Linked DNA regions of Macaca fascicularis. The protein of the gene in region 1 binds, or shares a complex with, the protein of each later gene. Links are inferred from orthologs where the notes say so. Each region holds a gene or a part of one and is shown on either strand. Other genes may lie near its edges. The genes, in order: STAP1 and LAT2.

The links.
Region 2: the proteins of STAP1 (region 1) and LAT2 are in contact, whole or in part, in a crystal structure (PDB 3MAZ), measured with the Homo sapiens proteins. The link is inferred for Macaca fascicularis from reciprocal best matches to the Homo sapiens genes STAP1 and LAT2. Residues at the interface, in NP_001304698.1 of Homo sapiens: Arg184, Arg203, Pro204, Gly205, Ser206, Ser212, Ile215, Gln217, Ile219, Lys225, His226, Tyr227, Lys228, Glu239, Leu240, Glu241, Tyr255, Phe256, Glu259, Thr260, Arg261, Asn263, Leu264; in NP_054865.2 of Homo sapiens: Asn134, Ser135, Tyr136, Glu137, Asn138, Val139, Leu140, Ile141, Lys143.

Annotation. Positions count from the first base shown.
Region 1 is NC_088379.1:66,197,932-66,207,157, reverse strand, and holds the start of STAP1 (signal-transducing adaptor protein 1), read left to right. Parts: upstream 1-3,070; 5' UTR 3,071-3,153; coding exon 3,154-3,273; intron 3,274-9,226. UniProt on the Homo sapiens protein: In BCR signaling, appears to function as a docking protein acting downstream of TEC and participates in a positive feedback loop by increasing the activity of TEC.
Region 2 is NC_088377.1:53,095,407-53,104,716, forward strand, and holds the start of LAT2 (linker for activation of T-cells family member 2), read left to right. Parts: upstream 1-3,731; 5' UTR 3,732-3,866; intron 3,867-9,310. UniProt on the Homo sapiens protein: Involved in FCER1 (high affinity immunoglobulin epsilon receptor)-mediated signaling in mast cells.

The DNA.
Region 1 (9,226 bases):
AGAGTACAGTGACTGAAAAGGTATGAGGTGATAGGGAAGATCATAGGGTATTCAGGCAACTGAGAATAAATGAAATTACCAGAGCAAAGGGTATTTTGAGGAGTTATTATTTAAAAGGGCCCTGCTATGAAGGACCAGTGTGCCATGCTTGAGCCCATTGTTGGTATTCAATAAATATTCAATGTTCAATGACAAAATTTTAAAAAGAAATCTCAAAAGCAATGAAAATCCATTAAAGTCTTTTCAGTAGGGGAGTATCTTGATTAGGCTGAATTTTAAATGAATTGGAGAAGAAAAAGAGTGGAAACTAGGAGACCACTTAAAAGCCTTTTGCAGCTCTTCAGACAATAAGTCATGTAGTCCATCGCCTCATTGTATGGGTGAGGAAGCTATGACACCAGAGAAGTCAAGTGGTTTGTTCAAGGTCTCAAGAGTCAATTAGTAGCAAAATTAGCTTCAGCCCTATGTCCAAACATATTTTCTACTGTATTTCCTTACCTACAAATTTATTATTCACTGCCTAAGACTTGAGATATCTGTAAGAGGATTTCCATTGTAATGGTGCAGTGGTACAATGATACTAGTAATTGCAGACAAGACTAACTGGTTAATATTGTTTAAGAAATATTTTTGCATTTTGTAGTCTTTTTTAGGGAGATTCTTGGTATATTAAAAATGAATTTGATGTATAAATCAGTAGACCAAAGTAACTTACTGCGTCTGATTAGCTGTTTTTAAATTGTTGCTTATTTTTTTAAAGGCAAAAAAACATAACCAAGTGTTTATTTGACAACAACAAAAAAAAACTCCTCTTTACATTTTTCTAGAGGTATTATTTTCTCTTGCCTATGAAACTTTCTGGCCATAAAGTCAGTATCTAATCACTGATGATCCCCAGCATTCTATCTTTCTCTATCCTTGCTCCTTCTTTTCATTTTTCAATTCTTAATCCTTCCTTTCACTTCCCCCCTGTATTACAACAACTAACAGCTGCCAAGAAAGTGGATTAGGTCATATATTCAATCAGGAGGTTTTCCCGTTACTCAAGTCACTTTCTTAGTATACTGAAACTAAAAAATAGTTATGGTTTTTGTCTCAAAAAATTAAGTTGGACTTATATTTTATTATTTGAAGGTTGGGTAGCAAGAAGCAGGTCTAAACTTATAAAAGCAAAGCAGTAATTTTGGATCTTCAACTCTCTATGTCTGTCTCTAGCTGTTTTCATTTTGATAATACATCTGAACACTCTCCTCTAACTTACTGATAATCAGTCTGTATTGTTCTACCTTACTTTGTAGACAATTTGGCATCTCATATCCCACTGCAGGATCAGTGGGACCCACACTGGTGGAGAAAATCATGCAGTCTCTCCATTAGGAAAGGAGAATCAGACTGAAGACTCCTGGCTTGCTCTGATTTCTAATAATAGGCTGGTCTCACTGGGCCCAGGCTGTTCTAAATCTAGAGTAGTTCTGAAATACTGAGTGTGAAATAGGCAATGGTAGAAATTCTTAGGACCCCTGTAAGACAAATCAAAATTCCTTCTAATATTCTTTTCTCCCATCATTTCCTGCACTGTGCTAGGGCAAATCCAATCTCTTAAGGGCCATTGCCTACATGCAACCATTGAGTGCACTTTGGTCCCAGTATAGCTTTATAAATCTCACTAGATAACTGTGGGAACTCCATCCATGAATCATAGTATCAATAGTATTCATGAACTCCATCCATGAATCAATGGTCTGCAGCTCAGAAAGCACAAAGAACAAAATAAAAGTTTGAAAACTTACAGCTTTCTCTGCCAGATATTTTTTGCCAAATATCTTAGACTCCTTTGTGTTGCTGTAACAGAATACCCACAGACTGGTAAATTATAATGAACAGAAATGTATTTGGCTCATGGTTCCGGAAGCTGGAAGCCAACATCTGATGAGGACCTTCACGGGGCATCATTCCATGGCAGAAGATAGAAGAGCAAGAGAGGGTGATAGCATGCCAGAAAGTGCCAAACTTGATTTTATAAAAAACCCACTTCCAGGCCAGATGCAATGGCTCACACCTGTAATCCCAGCACTTTGGGAGGCCACAGCAGGAGAATCGCTTGAGCCCAAGAGTTCGAGACCAACCTGGGCAACATAGGGAGATACTGTCTATACAAAAAATGAAAAAGTTAGCTAGGAGTGGTGGCACTTGCCCTGTAGTCCCAGCTACTTGGGAGGCTGATATGTGAGGATTGTTTGAGCCTGAGAGGTCAAGACTGCAGTGAGCTGTGATTGCATCAGTGTATTCCAGCCTGGGCAACACAGCAAGACCCTGCCTCTGAAAAAAGAGAAAGAAACCCACTCCCAGAGCATTAATTCATTAATTCATTCATGAGGGCAGATGCCTCATGACTTAATCCCCTTCTAAAGGTCCTATTTCTAAACACTGTTGTATTGGGGATTAAGTTTCTAACACACAAACTTTGGAGGATACATTGAAAACATAGTACTAAATATTCATTGTGAACTCATGTACTTGGAATACCTACTGGCAAAAATAAAAAAAGAAAAAAGAAAAAAATTCCATATTCCATGTTCCCATAACTGCGGTTTATATTTAGTGAAGCATCAAATGGGCATGAGATAGAACTATTTTTTTTATTTACACAAAACTTGGCCCTGAAATATTTAACCAACAGAAATAGTACTAATAAAATTATTCTATGAAGCAATTTTTAATGAAGCAGAGTTTATTCAAGTCATGTCTTCTGCAAATAAAAATGGACAGCAATAAACAAAAACAAAGGTAGAAAGAATAACTATGTTCTTGATGTCTCCCCTAAAGTTCACAATCTCTACACCTGTTTCTTTCATCTTCGGTGATGTTAATCTTCTGTTTATTTTGCTGCTTTAAATCTAAGCATATGTAGATTACCCAGAGATTGCTCTCTAAAAGTCAGATTACACCTGTTCTTTCTTACCTCACAAAAAGTAATGGAAAAAAAAGTGTGTGTGTGTGTGTGTGTGTGTGTGTGTGTGTGTGTGTGTGTCCTGTTGGTGGTTAAAAAGCAATTTGGGACTTCCTCTTTGAACAGTTGCCTTTTCCTCTCACACAAGGAGGATTTCATTTTGTTTGAGACGAGAAACCAAACCACACACCAAAGAGAGGGGTATGATGGCTAAGAAGCCCCCAAAACCAGCCCCTCGCAGGATCTTCCAGGAAAGGTTAAAGATTACTGCTCTACCTTTGTACTTTGAAGGTTTTTTGTTAGTCAAGCGGTCAGGATACCAGGTGAGTCTATACATGATAATGTTAAACCTAAGACTTCTCTTTTAATTTAATATTTATTTCATGGTGATGTGATGTGTTGAGACCCCCTTGTTTCTGTTGAAATTAAATCATCTTCTCTTCTTTGAGCTCAGAAATGATTCCAATTTTTCATAATTTAAATACAATGTCTGGCTTAAACCTGTATGTCTATGAATATATAATATGTATAATAACACAGGTTGTAATATTAAGGCACTAATATAAAAAATTCAATAAGCTAAATTTCCAAAGAATTCCAAAGAATTTAAATATCACAGAAGACTTTGGCTTGGGAGATAAAATGTTTCCTGTATTTTCTCCACAATTTATTGCTATGCTTCAATGATGAGATGTACCATTAAGATAAAATATCGCCGGGCGCGGTGGCTCAAGCCTGTAATCCCAGCACTTTGGGAGGCCGAGACGGGCGGATCACGAGGTCAGGAGATCGAGACCATCCTGGCTAACACGGTGAAACCCCGTCTCTACTAAAAAAATACAAAAAAAAAACTGGCCGGGCGAGGTGGCGGGCGCCTGTAGTCCCAGCTACTCCGGAGGCTGAGGCAGGAGAATGGCGTAAACCCGGGAGGCGGAGCTTGCAGTGAGCTGAGATCTGGCCACTGCACTCCAGCCCGGGCTACAGAGCAAGACTCCGTCTCAAAAAAAAAAAAAAAAAAAAAAAAAAAAAAAAAAGATAAAATATCATTATTGAAATTAAACCTGCTCCTGTTCTCAGTCATTTGAAGTTTATAATGATCAAATTATTAAAAATGGCTTTTGTAAAAATTGTTAAAATGACAAAGTTCGTACTGTTTAACATTATATAGTGTTATGTGTTCTAAAATACTATTCAAGATAGTGGCTTTTAATTTTTGGGGTACTACTGTGGATATTAAGTACACTAAGCTACACAAATACCTTTGCTCTAAGAAAATCCATGAAGCATTCTGTATTTTTGAATGTAATAATTAAAACTTATAGTTAGTTAAAATCATTACTTTTAAAATAGTAATTATGGATGACTTGAAATTAATTAGAGAAATGAGCCCAAAATTGCCTGTTATTAAAGAAAAAATCATTAACTTACGTCAAATTTTATGAAATTGTATATTGACTAAAACTAGAAAAACTTTAAGGTTTTCAGAAATTCCATCAGAAATGTTTAATGATGATAAAATATATTTTCTGAGGATTTATGAATACTTATGGAAAAATTATATATATGAAAAATCTGTAATAGCATATTCATATTTCTTACATATATAATCAGATCATTTACTATTTGAGAGTAAAGACATGGTAATTTGTATTCTGTTATGGATGTTAAACATGCATAAATAATTATCTTTCAGTTATACTAGAATATTTTCAGGTTGTTCCTACATGCTTTTAATGTAAATTTAATCTTGTCACCACAGGTAAGCCACATAGTCACACTTTGCCAGGAAAGGGAAGTTGAGAAAAAAAAAAAAATCTAATTTGTAATTTAAATTTGGTTGTTCACTGAATGTTTTCCAAGGTGTTTGTAATAACTGTTTATGATAGCAGTTTTTTTTAAAATGCTTAAAGAAGGTGCGTCATTGGTATGGTTAGCAGAAAGAATAAGAATTTTAGAGTGTCTTTATCTGATGGTTTTGCCACTTACTGCTCGTTATCTTGTGCAAGTTACTCAATCTCCTTGAGACTGTTTCTTCAACTATAAGATAGAGAGTACACTACTTGCTACTTGCCTCCTAAGGCACATTCTGGGACACAGTAGGTGTTCAAGCAATTTATTCACTCAGCATTTATTGTGTGCCTTCTATGCACCAAGCATCACTTTTATTTCTGGAGAATATGAAAAAAACACAAAGATTTTATTTTCAAGAGGCTTAATATAGTAGGAATGATGTCTTCCTTACTGAATTTCTACTCTTTACCTTCTCTTAGAAAGCATTATTTGAAGCAGAATGAATAACCATAGGCATAAATATTTCCAATGAAATTAACTTGTTTCTATTTGAATTTATAATAAAGTACCTGTGTGTGTGTGTGTGTGTGTGTGTGTGTGTGTGTGTGGCAGTGTCTCCTCTGTTGCCCAAGCTGGAGTGCTGTGGTGCAATCACTAGTCATGCAGCCTCAACATCCCCAGCTCTGGTGATTCTCCTGCCTCAGCCTCCTGAGTAGCTGGGACTACAAGTGCGTACCATACCCAGCTAATGTTGGTATTGTTTATAGAGACAGGGTTTCATCATGTTGTTCAGGTTGGTCTCAAACTCCTGGGCTCCAGCAATCTGCCCACCTTGGCCTCCCAACGTGCTAGAATTACAGGTGTGGGCCACTGAGTTAGGCTACAAAGTACCTTTTACTTGTATGTCAGGGAGAAGAGAGCAAGAGGATGACAATAATGCCTACTTATGTTGTGGTTTCAGGGATAGCATATGTAAAACACCTGGCTCACACTAAAGGTTAGATTCATTCTCTTACCCTTTCATCACTTACCATATTCTTATTCATGTGCTAAAATTAGTTTGAGGTCTACAAGTAATATGGCTCAAAGGAGAGTGAGCATGGTGATAATTAGAGTACTTGAAAATAGTAGCTATGAGAAAAATCTAAGGAAAATAAGTGGAATTTCCAAGCAATTGGCAGCAAAGTGCCAGGGAATCTTTGAACAGAAGGTGAGCCACAGGTATATAGCCAAGTAATCTTCGGAGCTGATTGGCTGGAGGAAGTTGAGAGGCTCTGCAGAATGTAAAGTTCGGTCTCTGCCAAAGTCATTTAGAACATTTAAACTAGAAAAAATATAACTGAAGAGTAACCTGGTCTATAAAGGCATTGAATGTTGAGAGGTGTTTCTTAGACATTTTTTTTTGTGGGGCACTTTTAAGTATTTAAAGAGCTTTTCCCCAGGAAAATGTACCAACGTATACCATTTTGCATGCAATTCTAGAAGGTTTCTAAATCTGAGGTCAAGAACCCATGAAAAACACATAATCTTTATGGAAAAGATAATGTGGGAAGATTTATTTAAACCACATCACTATGATTCTGGATTAACCAGGAAGATGTATTTGATAATAAAAACTATTAAATGCCACAGTGGAATACCAATGGCCTCGCAGTTCTTACAAATGGGAAAATTGCTCATTTTTTCTGGGACCGTTTGAAAATAAGACAGAGTTTGGGTGGGCCAGGCGCCATGGCTCATGCCTGTAATCCCAGCACTCTGGGAGGCCCAGGTGGGCAGATCACGAGGTCAGGAGATCGAGACCAACCTGGTCAACATGGTGAAACCCCGTCTCTACTAAAAATACAAAAATTAGCTGGGTGTGGTGGCACATGCCTGTGGTTCCAGCTACTAGGGAGGCTGAGGAAGGAGAATCACTTGAACCCGGGAGGCAGAGGTTGCAGTGAGCTGAGATGGCACCACTGCACTACAGTCTGGCAACAGAGCAAGACTCTGTCTTTAAAAAAAAAAAAAGAAAGAAAGAAAAGAAAGGAAGAAAAAAGAAAAAGAAAATAAGAGAGAGTTTGGGCAATGTCTCGTAATTCCTTCAATCTGTGATGTGCTAAAATTAAAAAAAAAAAAAAAAAAAAAAAAAAAAAATGTGTGTGTTGACCGGGCGCGGTGGCTCACGCCTGTAATCCCAGCACTTTGGGAGGCTGAGGCGGGCGGATCACGAGGTCAAGAGACCGAGATCATCCTGGCTAACACGGTGAAACCCCATCTCTACTAAAAATACAAAAAAATTAGCTGGGCAAGGCGGCGGGAGCCTGTAGTCCCAGCTGCTGGGGAGGCTGAGGCAGGAGAATGGCGTGAACCTGGGAGGCGGAGCTTGCAGTGAGCCGAGATCGCGCCACTGCACTCCAGCCTGGACTACAGGGCGAGACTCGTCTCAAAACAACAACAAAAACAGTGTGTTTAATATGTCTTATTAACCTGAACATAAGCATGGGATCATCATAACTGTATCAAAATCGTATTCCTCTAATCTACTCACCTCTAATTCATTTAGTGAAACTCCGTCTCTACTAAAAACACAAAAATTAACTGGGCATGGTGGTACACGCCTGTAATCCCAGCTATTGGGAAGGCTGAGGCAGGAGAATCGCTGGAACCCGGGAGGCAGAGGTTGCAGTGAGCCAAGATCGTGCCACTGCACTCCAGCCTGGGTGACAGAGCGAAACTCCCTCTCGAAAAAAAAAAAAGTAAATTTTTTAGGGCTGTCTAAGTTGTGCTCACAAACAGTTCTCTACGGCAGTAATCTCCGAATTTTAATATAACACACTCCTTTCAGGGAAACATTTTGAGCACAGATCCTTAAAATAAGAATATTGATTCATTTAGAAATTATAAACATATATAGTCCCATACTATTACTCCATGTAAATTAAGATATATAAAAAATGAATTAAGAAACATAAAATATAATTAAATATTCTAAAATTTTCTCTCCCAATGGATCATCTTGCACACCTTTGGAATTTATGCATCCCATTTTGGAGACCACTATACAACGTTCTTCCTTAGGTAAATGTACTTTATTTGCTCACAAAAAAAGAAAGAATGAGAGCTTTTTATTGGGGAGAGGGGAAGAGAAACTTAACTGGAGCTTGCATTGTAATTCATTTTTGCTAGTTAATTCATTTTTGCTAGTTATATTAATGAGAAAAGAGCACTGGGGAGGCAAGAGATAAAAGTATCAGTCCAATTCTAGAATTTGGGCTATTCCTTCACATTTTTAAATCTATTCCCTCCTTTCTGAAAAGAATAATTACTCTCTTGCATAGCTGAATAGGTTGCTCCAATGACTAAGTGGACTATATAATAATGAGTACAACCTTTTGAGGTATAACATACAATGGATACCATTCTAGGCTCTTAGTGTTCTGTCACTCTGATCCTTACAGTAACTCTTCTGGGTAGAAATTATTTTATTCACTTCACAAATGAGTGAGTAGGTGGGGCATGCTGGCTCATGCTTGTAATCTCAGCACTTATGAAGGCCAAGGCAGGAGGATTGCTTGAGGCCAGGAGTTGGAGATCAGCCTAGGCAACATAGCAAAACCCCATTTCTACAAAATCAAAAAATTAGCCAGGTGTGGTGGCACACCCTGTATTCCCAAATACTGGGGAGGCTGAAGTGGTAGGATCACTTGAGCCCTGGAGTTCGAGGCTGCAGTGAGCTATGATTGCACCACTGCACCCCAGCCTGAGCAACAGAGCGAGACCCTGTCTCTCTAAAACAACCCCAAATAAACAAATGAGTGAGTTCTGGCCACCGAGTTTATTCAAGGTTCCTCTTCCATTAAGGAGGCTAGCTTGGATTTGATTGTGATGCACTTGACTATGCTGCTTCTGAAACTCAAGTTCTAATTCCATTTGATTGTAGGTTTCCTAGTTAAGCTAGTGATAAATTCAGAAGTCTTATTTTAGTCTCTTCTCTTATGTCAGTAATTTAACACAAAACGATTGTTAAAAAAAAAGAAGTTTGTGCTTCATTCCAAAGACATGTCCTTCCAAGTTAATTTTTTAAATTTTTAAGTATTTCTCTAGATATGAATAGGTACCTAGATGTTTTTTATTGAGATTGATATTTATAAATGACTCAGCTTATACGTGTATTTATTACATCTTATCAGAAATGAAATCAAGACTGTGACCTGTAAGTCTCTGCATACTGAATACCAGTTTGGTCTGTCCTTAGGTTTGCAGCTGTGTTTGCAGTCACAGAATCTAATGCTATTTGTAACCTTACTTTTCCTAAAGGGCTGCCTTTGCTTTCAACTCAGTGCTTTTATACTTGTTTTTCCTCCCATTTAATAAATCATTAATCCTTTCCACAACTATGTATGTTTGCTTACCCATAAAACTCCCATTTTTCCCTATTTAACTCTACCCAATTCATATCGTTCTTTTGAGATTGAACACCTCTATAATTTTTTTCAGTAG
Region 2 (9,310 bases), on another chromosome or scaffold:
AGGCACAGATTTGGGCATCTGATGGCCCTAGCTTCAGTCCTAGTCCGGCCACAGAGGGAGGCAGGGTGAGCTCCTCTCACGGAAGCCTGCGGGAACTCTCAGAACCAGCCCCTGGAGCATGTGCTACCCTCCTGCTCCACGAGGTGGCAGCAGCGGGCCCAGCCTCTTGTCTCAGCGGCCACCTCTCCTGGCCTGGCCGGGACACCGCCGCCAAGGCTGAAAGAGAAACCTAGCCCCAAGCTGAGAGTGGAACCCCAGAGCCAGGGTCCTGGGCCTAGAGTCGTCCAGAACTGGGGGTTCAGGTTCTGAAATGCCAGACATTTAGGAGCTGGAGGACTGTCATGCTCTTGCCTGGTGTCTCCAGCAGGTGGGATAGACACCAGATTCAATGGGACCAGTCTCAGTGGCCTCACGCCTGTAATCCCAGCACTTTGGGAGACTGAGGATGGAGGATCGCTTAAGGCCAGGAGTTCAAGACCAGCCTGGGCAACATAGCAAGACCGTCTCTGCAAAAAAAAAAAAAAAAAAATTAGCTGGGCGTGGTGGCACGCACCTGGGGTTCTAGCTAACTCTGGAGGCTGAGGTGGGAGGATCATCTGAGTCTGGGAGGCAGAGGTTGCAGGGAGCTGAGATTGCACCACTGCTCTCCAGCCTGGGTGACCAGGTGTGACCCCATCTTAAAATAAATAAATAAATAAATATAAAGGGGAAAGAACAGTAGGTAACCCCTGTCCAGGTGCATAGTCTGGGGCTGGAGGGAAACTGATGCAAGCTTGTTCCCATTGTGTGAGGAGGAGCCAGACAGGGGGTCCCAGCAAGGAAGCCAGGCTTTGGGATCTGGGTTGAAATCCAACTTCACCTCCGGACCGAGTGAGACCCTGTCTCAAGAAAGAAAGAAGAGAGCAAGGAATAGAGACAGAGGGTCAGACAGCAAGAGTCTCAGAGGATGAGACAGACACAGAGGCAAAGGACGAGGGACACGGGTGGGCAGGGCAGGGACAGAGAGACCCCTGCAGAGGCCACGAGGGCAGGGCAGGTGGAATAAGTGACCGAAGACAGGTGGAGGAGTGGATGGCACACGTGTCAGAGGCTGCGGATGGAGAGGGCGCTGAAGGGTGGGAGAAGGAAGGACAGCCAGCCCTGCTCCACCCCAGCCCTGCAGGTCTCATCACTCCACTGCACAGATGAGGCTCCTGGCATCAGGGGGTGCAGAGAATGGCTCACAGCACAGGCAGAGGGACCACAGCCCACTCCTGCCCAGCGCCGCTCCTGTGCCCAGCCCTGGGGTGGATACCGTGGCTGCCATCCACACAGATGTGAGGACTGAGTGAGACAGTTCCCTGTGGAGCCCAGGACGCTCTGGCACCTGAGGTCAATAAAGCCACATCCCGCAAGTGGGTGGAGTGCCTTGTGCTGTTGACCATTAAACAGCTGCCCAAGGCCATTGAGCTATTCATTAAATATTATTATTTTGATTTTTTTTTTTTTTTGATGGAGTCTCACTGTGTCGCCCAGGCTGGAGTGCAATGGCGCAATCTCGGCTCACTGCAACCTCCACCTCCTGGGCTCAAGTGATTCTTTTGCCTCAGCCTCCCGAGTAGCTGGGGCACCACCACACCCGGTTAATTTTTGTATTTTTAGTAGAGATGGGGTTTCACCATGTTGACCAGGCTGGTCTTGAACTCCTGACCTAAGCTGATCCACCTGCCTCAGCCTCCCGAAGTGTTGGGATTACAGGCTTGAGCCACCACACCCAGCCTATTTATTGTTTTTACAGACAGGGTCTTGCTCTGTCCCCCAGGCTGGAGTGCAGTGGCACGATCATGGCTAACTGCAGCCTCCAACTCTTGGGCTCAAGCAATCCTCCCATTTTGGCCTCCCAAAACACTGGGACTACAGGTGCGTGCCACCACACCCAGCTAATTAAAAAAATTGTATTAGAGATGGGGTCTCGCTCTGTTGTCCACGCTGGTCTCTAACTCCTGTTCTTAAGCAATCCTTCTGTCTTGGCCTCCAAAAGTGTTAGGATTACAGGTGCAAGCCACCACACCTGGCCTCTATCTCCCTGTTTCTTGCTGTCTCCCCATCTGTGTGTGTCTCTGACAGTCTGCGGCTCTCTTTCTCTCTGTGTATTTCTTTTTTTTTTTTTTTTTTTTTTTTTTTTTTGAGACGGAGTCTGGCTCTGTCGCCCAGGCTGGAGTACAGTGGCCGGATCTCAGCTCACTGCAAGCTCCGCCTCCCGGGTTCACGCCATTCTCCTGCCTCAGCCTCCCGCGTAGCTGGGACTACAGGCGCCCGCCACCTCGCCCGGCTAATTTTTTTTTGTATTTTTTAGTAGAGACGGGGTTTCACTGTGTTATCCAGGATGGTCTCGATCTCCTGACCTCGTGATCCGCCCGTCTCGGCCTCCCAAAGTGCTGGGATTACAGGCTTGAGCCACCGCGCCCGGCCATCTCTGTGTATTTCTGTGTGTCTCTCTCTGTGTCTCTTGGTCCATCTCATGCCCAGCTAATTTTTAAATTTTTTGTAGAGATGGGGTTTCACCATGTTGGCCAGGCTGGTCTTGAACTCCAGACCTCAGGTGATTCTCCCGCTTCAGCCTCCCAAAGTGTAGAGATTACAGACGTGAGCCACCATGCCTGGCCCATGGGTGTGAATTTCTGCCTGTGTGTGTTTTTTGGTTTGTTTGTTTTTTGGTTTTTTTTAGATGAAGTCTCACTCTGTCACCCAGGCTCGAGTGCAGTGGCCCGATCTCGGCTCACTGCAACCTCCGCCTCCCAGGTTCAAGCAATTCTCCTGCCTCAGCCTCCTGAGTAGCTGGGATTACAAGCACCTACCACCATGCCCGGCTAATTTTTGTATTTTTAGTACAGTTGGGGTTTCACCGCGTTGGTCAGGCTGGTTTCGAACCCTGACTTCATGATCTGCCTGCCTCGGCCTCCCAAAGTGCTGGGATTACAGGTGTGAGCCCCGTGCCCGGCCCATGGGTGTGAATGTCTGCCTGTGTGTGTCTCCATATCTGCCGTCTGCAGGAGTACCTCAGTTTCATTATCTTGTTCCCTCTCTGTTGGAGAGTATCTCTCTTCCTCTCTGTGTGACTTTTTGTGTTTGTGTGTTTAGTGTGTGTCCGTATTTTCCTGTTCTCTTTGTGTCTCTCTGCTCTCTGTGTCTCTCTCTCTTTTTCCTTCTGTTTTCTGAGACAGAGTCTCCCTCTGTCGCCCAGGCTAGAGTGCAGTGGTGTAATCTCGGCCCACTGCAACCTCCGCTTCTGAGATTCAAACGATTTTCCTGCCTCAGCCTCCTGAGTAGCTAGAATTACAGATGCACACCACCACACCCAGCTAATTTTGTATTTTTAGTAGAGACGGGGTTTCACCATGTTGGCCAGGCTGGTCTCGAACTCCTGACCTTAGGTGATCCACCCGCCTCGACCTCTCAAAGTGCTGGGATTACAGGCGTGAGCCACCTCACCCGGCCCTATCTCTCTTTCTTCTCTTTCTCGCTCTCATTTTGTTTCTCTTCTCTCTCTCTGTCCTCTCTCTCTCTCCCTCCCCCTCTGTCTCTCTCTTCCCCCACCTCTTTCTCCCCCTCTCTTCTCTCTCCCACCCCCTCTGTCTCTCTCTCTCCTCTCTCTTTTTCCCTCTCTCTCTCTCCCACCCCCTTCCCCTATCTCCCCTCCCTCCCCTGCCCCCCCCACCCGGTTCATAGCTGAGCCTGTCCGGCAGAGCAGCGGATGTACAGATGATTCAGTGGCTGGCAGGAAGCCCGCCCTGCCCGCCCGCCAGTGTCAGTGGTGTTGGCATCAGCTCGGGCAGGTGTGCGGGCTCAGGATGGGACGGCCGCGGTGAGGAGCCCTGGACTCTCAGGTAAGCCTTTCCCAGAGGTGCCTCAGTCCTTAGGCTGTCCCCCATCCCCCAGGAGCTCCTGGCCCCACTGGGTGGGGTGGGAAGAAGCCTGGATGCCTGGCACCCCCTCCCGCAGTGCCACTCCCGCCCTGGCACCAGATCCTGTGGCACTTCAGGAATCAGTTTGTTTCTGGGCTTCTGGCCACTCTCCTGCCCTCACCTTCCCCTGTCTAGGCTGCACAGCCTTGGGACATCCCAGGGTGGTCCCATCATTGCCAGAGACTGGTGAAGGGCAGCCGAGAGCCAAAACAGTGGCTGCCCTGGCCTGGGAGCCTCGGTTTCCTCATCCATGAAATGGGACTGTAACCCCCTATACAGGTCAGGGAAAAACGGTGAGATACAGACCAGGGCCCAGGTCCTGCCCCAGGTCAGGTGGAGAACCCCCACTGCCTCCCTGCCCAGCCCCCTGCCTGGCCCTCAGCTCTGTCCCTGGGACTAGGGCTGCTCAGGCCCCTGCTGCACCCGCCCGCCTCCCCCCATCCCAGCCAGCCTCATTTGAAGCCCAAAGTTATTTGGAAAAAGCAACAGGACCAGCCTGGCACGGTGACTCACACCTGTTATCCCAGCATTTGGGGAGGCCAAGGCGGGAGGATCATTTGAAGTCAGGAGCTGGAGACCAGCCTGGGCAACATAGTAAGACTCCCATCACTTAAAAAAAAAAACCAATAAAATTAAAAACTAAATGAAAAAAACCAACAGACACCAGAGCAGAGTTCAGTGGATAAAGCTGTCCGGGGCTTCAAGCCAGGCCGCCCCCTCCCCCACCCCAGTGTCCGCAGCCGCAGCTCGGCTGGGGGAACAGGCAGGGTGGTCTCGAGTGTCCTCCAGCCCAGCCCCGAGAGCTTCCCCGAAGCCGGCTCTTGGCAATCTTTGTTCATATGAAAACTGCCCACTTCCCTTTAGTGCTATTTTGGCCTCTGCAGAACTGTGGTCTGTGGCAGCCCCCACTCCCCACCCCGCCCAGCCCTGCTGGCCCCTGGGGGCCTTAGAGGGCCCACCCTCCGCTCCCACCACCTCCCCCCACCTGCTTTCAGAACCTACATGGAAGAGTGAAAGAGCGAGACAGAGACACACGCAGAGAGGGAGACAGAGACAGAGACACAGAGACACGGAGACAGCAGAGAAGTTTTATTTTTTTAATTTTTTTAAACGGAGTCTCACTCTGTCATCCAGGCTGGAGTGCAGTGGTGTGATCTCGGCTCACTACAACCTCCACCTCCTGGGTTCAAGCAGTTCTCCTGCCTTACCCTTCCACGTAGCTGGGAGTACAGGCACGTGCCACCACACTTGGCTAATTTTTTATTTTTTATTTCTTTTTTATTTTTTGAAGATGGAGTCTTGCTCTGTCGCCCAGGCTGGAGTGCAGTGGCGCGATCTCGGCTCACTGCAAGCTCCGCCTCCTGGGTTCACACCACTCTCCTGCCTCAGTCTCCCGAGTAGCTGGGACTACAGGCACCCGCCGCTACACCTGGCTAATTTTTTTGTATTTTTAGTAGAGACGGGGTTTCACCATGTTAGCCAGGATGGTTTCGATCTCCTGACCTCGTGATCTGCCCGCCTCGGCCTCCCAAAGTGCTGGGATTACAGGCGTGAGCCACTGTGCTCAGCCTAATTTTTTTATTTTTAGTAGAGACAGGGTTTCACCATGTTGGCCAGGCTGGTCTTGAACTCCTGACCTCAGGTGATTTGCCCACCTCAGCCTCCCAAAGTGTTGGGATTACAGGCGTGAACCACCGCACCTGGCCAACAGCACAGGATGTATTCAGTCTGGGGGCAGACACACGACTGTTTGTTAAATTTTACTTTTTGTTTTTAGAGACGGGGTCTGGCTCTGTCACCCAGGCTGGAGTGCAGTGGTGCGATCTTGGCTCACTGCAGACTCCAACTCCCGGGCTCAAGTGATTGTCTTGCCTCAGTGTACTGAGTAGCTGGAACCACAGGCATGTACCATTGTGCCTGCCTAATTTTTTTCATTTTTTTGTAGAGACAGGGCCTTGTTACATTGTCTAGGCTAGTCTCGAACTCCTGGCCTCAAGTGATCCTCCAGTCTCGGCCTCCCAGTGTTGAGATTACAGGCGTGAACCACCACACCCAGCCTGATCCCATTTTATTTATTTATTTATTTATTTATTATTTTTGAGATGGAGTCTCACTCTGTCTCCCATGCCGGAGTGCACTGGCGTGATCTCAGCTCACTGCAACTCACCGCCTCCCGGGTTCAAGCAATTCTCATGCCTCGGCCTCCCAAGTAGCTGGAATTACAGGCTTGTGCCACCACGCCTGGCTAGTTTTTGTATTTCTAGTAGAAACAGGGTTTCACCACATTGGCCAGGCTAGTCTCAAACCCAAGTGATCCTCCCATCTCGGCCTCCCAAAGTATTGGAATTACAGGTGTGAGTCCCTGTACCCAGCCCGACCCCATTTTATAGATGAGAAAACTGAGGCTGGGGGCTCTCAGGCGCAGGCTAGATTTGGTCCCATGAGCCCTCCCCCAAGACAAGGTGCTCCAACCTCACAAGCCTGAGATGAACTTGGGCCATGATGGAGGGGTTGGGGGTGCACCCTGGGTTGGGGACACTGAGGCAAGGTGAGATTCAGGGAGGGAGAAGGGCAGTGCCCAGGCGGGCCATGGGGAGGAGAGAGCAGAGCTTTCCTTGGACAACCTCCCGGGGTGACGTGGGTCGTGCCAGTCACACGGCTTGGAAATTCACTTGTTCCCACTGACTCACTTGGCTTTTGGGGAGAGGCCCAGTGGCTTCTCTGTGATGGGCCCCTGACCGTGGCTCAGGGCCACATGGAAATTCCGCATCATCTTACCACGGGGATTTGGGAAGTCCAGAGAGGTCCTGAGACTTGTCCAAAGCCACCCAGCTTTCAAGGGGGACAGCCCAGGTCCTGGTGGGCCTCGGGGATCCCAAGGCAGGAGGTAGGCAGCCTGGAGCTCCTCTTTTTTTCTTTTTTTGAGATGGAGTTTCGTTTTTGTTGCCCAGCCTGGAGTGCAATGGTGGGATCTCGGCTCACTGCAACTTCCACCTCCCGGGTTCAAGCAATTCTCTGCCTCAGCCTCCTGAGTAGCTGGGATTACAGGCACCCACCACCACCATGCCTGGCTAATTTTTTGCATTTTTTTAGTAGAGACAGAGTTTCACCATCTTGGCCAGGCTGGTCTTGAACTCCTGACCTCATGATCCACCCGCCTCAGCCTCCCAAAGTGTTGGGATTATAGGCATGAGCCACCGTGCCTGGGCTTTTTTTTTTTTTTTTTCTTTTTTGAGATGGAGTCTTGCTCTGTTGCCCAGGCTGGGGTACAGTGGTGTGATCTCGGCCCACTGCAACCTCCGCCTCCCGGGTTCACGCGATTCTCTTGTCTCAGACTCCTGAGTAGCTGGGATTACAGGCGTAAGGCACCACACCTGGCTAATTTTTGTATTTTTAGTAGAGACAGGGTTTCACCATATTGGTCAGGCTAGTCTCGAACTCCTGACCTCATGATCTGCCCACCTTGGCCTCCCAAAGTGCTGGGATTATAGGCGTGAGCCACTGCACCCAGCTGGAGGGCCTCCTTTTAAGTCCTGTTTACTGCTCCAAGCCTCACCTTCCCCGGCTGTGGGATGGGGAGAAACCCTCCTCACTGGTGGCCAGGGCAGGAAGAACACTGGGGTGGGGGACAGTGGACACTCGGAAGTGTTGGCTCCACAAATGCCCACCATGCTCAACCCCTTCAGAGACCCCACCACCCTCAACTCTGTCCTTGGCCATCTCCAGGGGGCCAGGTCTCCTTATTATTATTTTTTGAAACAGTCTCGCTCTGTTGCCCAGATTGGAGTGCAGTGGCATGATCACAGCTCACTGCAGCCTCGATCTCCCTGGGTTCAAGCAATCCTCCTGCCTCAGTCTCCCAAGTAGCTGGGACCACAGGCATGCACCACCATGCCTGGAGATATATATATATATATATATATTTTTTTTTTTTTTTTTTTTTTTTTTTAGACGGAGTCTCGCTCTGTCGCCCAGGCTGGAGTGCAGTGGCCGGATCTCAGCTCACTGCAAGCTCCGCCTCCCGGGTTTACGCCATTCTCCTGCCTCAGCCTCCCAAGTAGCTGGGACTACAGGAGCCCGCCACCTCGCCTGGCTAGTTTTTTTTGTATTTTTTAGTAGAGACAGGGTTTCACCGTGTTAGCCAGGATTGTCTCGGTCTCCTGACCTCGTGATCCGCCCGTCTCGGCCTCCCAAAGTGCTGGGATTGCAGGCTTAAGCCACCGTGCCCGGCCTTTTTTTTTTTTTTTTTTTTTTGAGACGGAGTCTCGCTCTGTTGCCCAGGCTGGAGCACAGTGGCACGATCTCCGCTCACTGAAAGCTCCGCCTCCCGGTTTCATGCCATTCTCCTGCCTCAGCCTCCTGAGTAGCTGGGACTACAGGTGACCCTGCCTCAGCCTCCTGAGTAGCTGGGACTACAGGTGCCCACCATCATGCCCAGCTAATTTTTTTGTATTTTTAGTAGAGACGGGGGTCTCACCGTGTTACCCAGGATGGTCTCGATCTCCTGACCTCGGGATCCGCCCGCGTCGGCCTCCCAAAGTGTTGGGATTACAGGCGTGAGCCACCGCGCCTGGCCTTTTTTGTATTTTTTTTTTTGTAGAGACAGAATTTCACCATGTTGCCCAGGCTAGTCTCAAGCTCTTGACCTCAATCAATCCTCCCTGCCTCAGCTTCCCAAAGTGCTGGGATGAAAGGCGTGAGCCACCGCGCCTGGCCCGGGTCTGTTTCTAGTTGCAACAGCTATTGGAAGCCCATTGGAGAGGGCCACACTTCCATTCACCAGGCCACAGTGGGTGGTGTGCGTGTGTTTTGCTGAGGCCTGGTCATCACGCCGTGGCTCCGAGGCTGGGACCAGCCACAGACCAAGAAGCTGGCCAGGTGCCAGCCGGGGATTCAGGGCTCCCTCTGAATATCCTGTCTTCAGCCCAGCCTTGGCATCCCAGCCAATTTCATCCCAGCCCCCTGCAGCAGTGCGCTAGGGCCCCATCCCTCTGCGGATCACCTTTCTCCACCTCATGCTGTTGGGCCACCTCCTCCAAGAAGCCTTCCCCAACCTCCCTCCTCCCAGCTCCCACCACAGGCAGAATCTGGGTTTGCAGTTGTTTCAGGAATGGAAGCCCCATTCCCAGGTCCTGGGGGGACCCCAAGGCAGGAGGTAGGCAGAGAGGGGTCCTGGGAAGCATAGAGGAGCCCTGAGTTGCTCCGGGGTGGGCAAGGGCCTCCGGGTGCTTCTGTGTGAGTGGTGGCCACAGACTGTCACCTCCAGGAGCCAGAGGGGGTTTACTGGAGGCAACCCACTGTGGGTTGATGGGCAGAGCCAGGGTTGGGGACAGGACACTGGGGCCTGAATCTCGTCTTTCCACTTA